2 linked regions of the Macaca mulatta genome follow. The protein of the gene in region 1 purifies or fractionates together with the protein of each later gene. This does not show direct contact. Links are inferred from orthologs where the notes say so. Each region holds a gene or a part of one and is shown in the gene's direction. Other genes may lie near its edges.

The links.
Region 2: the proteins of NPC1 (region 1) and PON2 purify together in Homo sapiens (affinity purification with mass spectrometry; 3 studies listed by BioGRID and IntAct, with this or other methods). This does not show direct contact. The link is inferred for Macaca mulatta from reciprocal best matches to the Homo sapiens genes NPC1 and PON2.

What each region holds. Positions count from the first base shown.
Region 1 is NC_133423.1:68,848,039-68,851,862, forward strand, and holds part of NPC1 (NPC intracellular cholesterol transporter 1), read left to right. Parts: intron 1-887; coding exon 888-961; intron 962-1,413; coding exon 1,414-1,835; intron 1,836-3,084; coding exon 3,085-3,311; intron 3,312-3,824. UniProt on the Homo sapiens protein: Intracellular cholesterol transporter which acts in concert with NPC2 and plays an important role in the egress of cholesterol from the endosomal/lysosomal compartment.
Region 2 is NC_133408.1:123,971,577-123,975,115, forward strand, and holds part of PON2 (serum paraoxonase/arylesterase 2), read left to right. Parts: intron 1-1,135; coding exon 1,136-1,336; intron 1,337-3,539. UniProt on the Homo sapiens protein: Capable of hydrolyzing lactones and a number of aromatic carboxylic acid esters. Has antioxidant activity. Is not associated with high density lipoprotein.

The sequences.
Region 1 (3,824 bases):
TAGCTGGGACCACAGGCGCCTGGCTAATTTTTTGTATTTTTAGTAGAGACAGGTTTCACCATGTTAGCCAGGATGGTCTCCATCTCCTGACCTCGTGATCTGCTCACCTCGGCCTCCCGAAGTGCTGGGATTACAGGTGTGAGCCACCGCGCCCGGCCTTCTGTGTTCTTACATACACCTCCCATCCCCAGCTTTATCTTATATTTTCCCTGTCCCTGCCTTGCAGGAGCTCTGGTTGCTTTTATTCAAGAGCGGTATGTAGAAACGAAGATCTGCGCACTAGGTGTGCTCTTTGCTACTGGAAGGGGTAGCGTGGTTTTTTGTTTGTTTGTTTGTTTGTTTGGGATGGAGTCTTTGTCACTAGGCTGGAATGCAGTGGCGCCATCTCAGCTCACTGCAACCACCGCCTCCCAGTTTCAAGCAGTTCTCCTGCCTCAGCCTCCCAAGGCACACACCACCACACACAGCTAACTTTTTTATATTTTTAGTAGAGACAGGGTTTCACTTTGTTGGCCAGGTTGGTCTCGATCTCTTGACCTCGTGATCCGCCCACCTTGGCCACCCAAAGTGCTGGGATTACAGGCGTGAGCCGCTGCGCCCGGCCCGGTAGCGTGTTCTTAAAAGACCTAAAAGTTTTAAATAAAATGAGGGCCACAAGGTGAAATTATCCTTTATTAACTGTTCTTTTAATATCTTCTTAAGTTTTCTCCTGAGACTGGTGAACAGAGGCACCCAGAGCAAGGAAACTTAGGGGAAAGAAGGCAGTAATTAGGGAGGAGGAGGCGAAGAGGAGGAAGAAAGCATTTCATGGGATTACAGGAATGTCCCAACAACAGCCTCATTGTGATGAAGTCCACTAATACTATTTCCTCTCTTCTGTTTTTCAGAAAACGGTATTTTGTCTCCGAGTACACTCCCATCGATAGCAATATAGCTTTTTCTGTTAATGCAAGTGACAAAGGTAGGCATATTTGTCCATGAATAAAAGGGTTCAGATGATGCTGTCTGTCATGAGAGTATTCGTTTGCTCAGCGGGGTTGCGGCAGTGGATGAGGCGGAGTGCTAGTGCTGAGGACACGGCTGCGACCAAGGCAGACGTAGTCCTTGCCTTTGTGGCCCTACCATCTAGTCAGGGTGGCACAGCAGAACCAAGTAATTAATCATAGCTGGGGAGGCGCGAAAGCAGCAGGACAAGAGTGGGAATAGCAGGGCAGGGTTGAACCTCACCCTTCAGAGGCTCCTGTGTCGGTGTCTCATCTGTGGGGTGGGAACAGCGCTCATTGAGGGCAGCCAATAAAGGTGACTTTGCTGAGCAGATAGATAGCTGAGGGCAGGGGTCTCATATGTATCCCCAGGTGGGCTTGATTCCTGCCATGAGACAGCAGCTAATGCTTTCCCTGTTCCGACTTTCAGGAATGGCTTGGCTCTTAACCTCCACCCTCCCTTCCTCTCCCGCTCTTCCAGGAGAGGCGTCCTGCTGCGACCCTGTCAGTGCAGCCTTTGAGGGCTGCTTGAGGCGGCTGTTCACACGCTGGGGGTCTTTCTGCGTCCGAAACCCTGGCTGTGTCATTTTCTTCTCGCTGGTCTTCATTGCTGTGTGTTCGTCGGGCCTGGTGTTTGTCCGGGTCACAACCAATCCGATTGACCTCTGGTCAGCCCCCAGCAGCCAGGCTCGCCTGGAGAAGGAGTACTTTGACCAGCACTTTGGGCCTTTCTTCCGGACGGAGCAGCTCATCATCCGGGCCCCTCTCACTGACAAACACACTTACCAGCCGTACCCTTCGGGAGCCGATGTACCCTTTGGACCTCCGCTTGACATACAGATATTGCACCAGGTAACCTGCTGTTTGAAGAAATAAGTCACTCCAGAGGACCTTGTGGTTTGCTGCCTTTTATATGTTGACTACTGCTGGATGGGGATTTGGGGCTGAATGTCACAGTATATCTTGAAAATTTTAGCATATAATGGCAAAGCTGCCTTTAAGTTAGGTTAAAAGAAAGTGAATGATGTAGAACTTAATGAAAATATTTATTGCTGCTCACTTTTGTATTTACTTCAGATAGTAGATCTTGCCTTTTTCTTGAAATTGAGATGAGCAGAGAAAGAAGACTTCAGTGGCATTTGTCTATTGAGGCGGGATGTATTTATTAGGAAGTCACCTTAGGAGTTTGCGAATGTTTTCTGGTGGTAACTGAAAGTAATATGCAAGGACCCAGAGGCATGAAGCCCTTACTGCTGTCCTGGGGGCTGAGGAAGGAGGTGCCAGGTCACCATCCCTGATCCAACCTGTAGGAATGAACTTATCACTGCCTGAATGTGGGCACCCAGCCTGTTTTTGGTGACAGGTGCATTTGGGGCAAGATCCATCCTGTTGCTCCTAGAAAGGCGTGTAAACCTTCCCATTGTCCCTGTCACACTTGCCTTGGAGAACTGTACCTGTGCATAAACTATACCCGCTTCTTTTTTAATGAATGTATAATCACATGGTTTTTCCTTTAAACATTGCTCATGTCTACAAGAAAATCTGAAATCTTGAAAAGCATTAAAATGGTCCTAAGACTTGGATAGAATCTTTTCTCTACCCGGTGACTGTCTGTTGCTTTTTCCAGCTTGTTGCTGAAGGTGAACAGCATAGTCATTTACCTCCAAGATCATCTTCTATGTTAGGAAATAAGGGGACACATGTAAATGGCTGTAGTGCAGAGCAAGGCAGGAGGTTTTGTGTTATTATTGAGGGGAGGGTCAGGGAGACCAGGAGACCCCTCCGCTCTCCCCTCTGGCCTGCTGGCCACTGCTGGAGCAGGGTAGAGGGAGATGGTTGTGTGTCCTGTGTTGATAGCTGTTCTGGTCATGGTGTCCCCCACCCCCTGCCGCCTCTGTGGACGCGTCTAACCAGTTTGCTGTTAGAGTGGGCCTGACCCGTTCTCTTAATGTATCGCGCCTTAATGCTCTCCCTCGTCTTAGGAAGTATTTTCCCCAAATACTCTTTGTCTTCTGACCCCTCAGGGCAATACTGACTAGTCAAGATCTGAGAGAAATGTGATGTGTTTCTGGGTTTGCTTATTTTTGAAATCTTCTTTCAGGTTCTTGACTTACAAATAGCCATCGAAAACATTACTGCCTCTTACAACAATGAGACTGTGACACTTCAGGACATCTGCTTGGCCCCGCTCTCACCATATAACACGAACTGCACCATTATGAGTGTGTTAAATTACTTCCAGAACAGCCATTCCGTGCTGGATCACAAGAAAGGGGACGACTTCTTTGTGTATGCCGATTACCACACGCACTTTCTGTACTGCGTACGGTAAGTGGCAAGAGACAGTCATTGGTGGACAGCATTCTTGGGTCTGACCTAGGGTATATGGGCATAAGCTTGTTTTATGAGCATAACCCAGAGGTGAGCAAACAGAGCAAGTCCTTGCCCTGTGAAGCTTACATCTTTTTTTTTTTTCTTTTTTTTTTTTTTTGAGACAGGGTCTTGCTGTGTCACCCAGGCTAGAGTGCAGTGGCGCAGTCTGGGCTCGCTGCAACCTCTGCCTCCGGAGTTCAAGCGATTCTCATACCTCAGCCTCCTGAGTAGTAGCTAGGACTACAGGTGTGTGCCACCACGCCCAGCTAATTTTCGTATTTTCAGTAGAGATGGGGTTTTGCCATGTTGGCCAGGCTGGTCTTGAACGCCTGACCTCAAGTGATCCCCCCCACCTCGGCCTCCCAAAGTGCTGGATTACAGGCGTGAGCTGCCACACCCAGCCGGAAGCTTACATCTTAATGGAGGGAGACGGATGATGAACACATCACATACGCTATCATGCCAGCT
Region 2 (3,539 bases), on another chromosome or scaffold:
TATACCAATTGCTTTCATAGGGTTAGCGGTGGTTGCATGTTAGTAATCCCACAGAATTAGGGCCACTCAAGTTGAGAGTGGGTCATTACACTTCAAGAACATAAAGCTGGTTGAAAATGTGGCTAAAAGAGAATCATGTGTACCCCTACTCCCGGTTCAGTGTATATTAGCCTACGGCTTCTTTTACTTTAAACTCGATGAATATTTTAAATTTCTAATGAAATTAAAAATTTCTAATTTCTAATGAAATTAAAAATATTGCCTATCTAGGGCCTATCTATGCCTATCTAGGGCATAAGCATGTAACTTCCAATCATTCCTTCCAAAAATGCACTTGATAAAAAAAAATAGGAGCATACATACCATCCAAGCATTATGGTGCTCTTTTAGAAAAAGGAGACCTACCTTCCCCATAGCTCTGTATTTTTCATTTAGCAAAGAATAAAGCAGCTCTTTCAGAAATTTTTGCATAGAGTAATTGGAATTTAAATTTAATAAAACCCTCACCTAACTGGTCTTAAAAATGAAATTGTTTTTAGCATATAAATCTCTCACCTGAAGCATTGTACTATGGCAATTTCATCATCCATCTCTCTGCAGGTGTTTATTGAGTGCCTATTCATTCTCGGCATGTCAGCTTTGTGAGGCAGGTAGAAATTGAACAGTCAACCTTAGTTTGACTAATAACTAAGCAAGGGAAATTAGAAAAATCCAGGAACTGAGTGAATGGAAGCTAGGTAAAGGTTACTGACTGCCTAACCAGCTCATCAGCCAATCAGGCTGTCTCCAGCTCTGTACTGTGGACAGCTCTGTCCTTACATGTAATTGTTAAACTCTACATTTCTTGCTGTCAAAAAACATGCCTTGATGGCACTAAGTTCCCTCTTCTTTTATAGTAATCCTGCCATAATTGCTAAATGACCTGTGTTCAGATTACCTGGTACCATACAAAATGGTTCTCTGGCAACAATATTATAGTATATTGTATATGAATATATTCATGTGATTTCAGCTCATCTTTTCCTCTTACCAAAAATTTAAAGCACATGTTGTGTAAATCATATGAGTATTTAATATTTAATATGGAGACTAACAGGCCTTTTATTTCCTCTCACATGCTATTTTTCTTTTTCAGTGTGAATGACATCACAGCTGTTGGACCGGCACATTTCTATGCCACAAATGACCACTACTTCTCTGATCCTTTCTTAAAGTATTTAGAAACATACTTGAACTTACACTGGGCAAATGTTGTTTACTACAGTCCCAATGAAGTTAAAGTGGTAGCAGAAGGATTTGATTCAGCAAATGGAATCAATATTTCACCTGATAATAAGTACGGCCCCTTATAGAATATCTTCATTTTTCTTCAGTTGTGGTGCTGGCCAAATTCTTTACCTTGCTTTCTTTGTCAATGTGAAAATAGTTTTCTTGACATTTATGGTGTATTATACATATAATATGTAGATACACTATATATATAATTATGTATATTTTGTATATATATTTACATATAATACATACTTAGTCACATTATTTATATGCAAATATAATACCATATATTTAAGTATACTATATAATACAATAATATATGTGTATTTACATATAATATATAAAGTTTGGAATACATCATTGTCAAATTTAATTTTATAAATATAAATTTTAAAGTGTGATCATACTGATGCATACATATTGAAGTATCAGGTATTTCCTTTCAAATAAATGTGTTATTATTTTTGTTGGCTATATATTCCATTATATATATATTATTCCATTATAAGGATGATCTTAAACTAATTTAACCAATTCTCTATTGATGGATATGTGTATGGGGGTGGGGAGTTCTACATAAAAAGTTGTATACTTCTTATGTACCATGGAAGTTTAAACAGGTATTTTTTTTTTAAAGGAAAAGTCCCTAAGATAGGGTTTTCTTTTTTTGGAGATGGAGTCTCACTCCATTGCCCAGGCTGGAGTGCAATAGCGTGATCTCAGCTCACCGCAACCTCTGCCTCCTGGGTTCAAGTGATCCTCCTGCCTCAGCCTCCCGAGTAGCTGGGATTACAGGCATGCGCCACCATGCCTGGATAATTTTGTATTTTTAATAGAGATGGGATTTCTCCATGTTGGTCAGGCTAGTCTCCTAGTCTCGAACCTCCGACCTCAGGTGATCTGCCAACCTCAGCCTCCCAAAGTGCTGGGATTACAGGCATAAGCCACCGCACCCAGCCCTAAGAGAGTATTAAAACATAATGGTTAAACTCGCAGATTTTTGACTCATACAGGCTTGGGTTCAAATCCCACTGAAGGCACTGGCTAAATGGTTCTATGAGCTAATTTTCTGTAGAACAGACCCCTAGAAATAGAACGATTTTCTCAAAGAGTGTGATTCTTTTAAATGTTAACTTTAATAGATATTGCCAAATTGTCCTCCAAAATTATCTCATTATATTTATATGCGCAACCACAACCTATAAGAGAAGATATTAAATTCTTTATTAGCTTTCTTATCTACTGCCTCAGCACACTGAAAAATTTAAACTACTACAAATACAACATAAAATAAATTTGGCACCCCTTGACAACTAAATGCCCTTATTTTTGTGATCCAGTTTCTCCTCCTTTCTTGTTGACTATAGAAAAAGAATGTGGAATCATTTAATTTAAATTGTCTCTAACTGACCTGATCCAACCTCTGCAGCCAAGTCTGTTTTTCACTCTTATATTTCCATTATGAGAGTCAAACTTTCCAGTCACCCAATCTAACAAAAAAATAACAATAATGAAAAGGGGGATTCAGCTTTTACTCCTCTTTCACTATTCCTATCCAGCCTGTAGGCAGGTCCTGTTGGTTCTACCTGTGCCTCCTTCCTCTACCCCCAAACTCCTTTCCCTTTGAGACCTGCCTAGTTTAGGTTCTTATCTTCTCTGACTAGCATATGAGACTTTCTTCCAATCTGTTTTCTGTCTACTTGGATTTTTTGCACTCTTGCCAATTTTTTCTTTCTATGTCTATCAGCCTTGAAGGGCTCCCCAAAGGGGGAACTCTGTCTTCCTCACCTTTGACCCCTCATGCCAGCACAGTGCCAGGCACAAAGCAAATGCTCAGGAATTGTGGAACAGAACTGACCATTTGTTGCCACTTTATTATTCTAAGATTTCAGTGGAATCCAATTGCTTTTCACATCAAGGCAGAGTAAAGGGTTGAACTTTCATAGGCCAGCTCCAACTTCCCTTTTTACTGTTTCCATGCTTTCTATGCTTTAGACAAAGAACTCATTGTTTTAAACATTCCTTCATCTTGTTGCTCCTGTGATTCTGCTCTTGTGCTTGCTTCTGCCTGGAAAGTGCCTCCTCCGTCCTCATCTCCTCAAATCTCGTCTCTCCTTACATAGCCACTGCAGATGCCCCTTCCTTGGTGAGCCTTTCTGTGTCCTCAGAAGTTAGCTATTTCTAGACCTGAACTATTTCTCATGCTTATTAGGTGTTTAATGTGTACAAACCAGTGAAATTGTTCCAACATACTATAAACTTTCTAG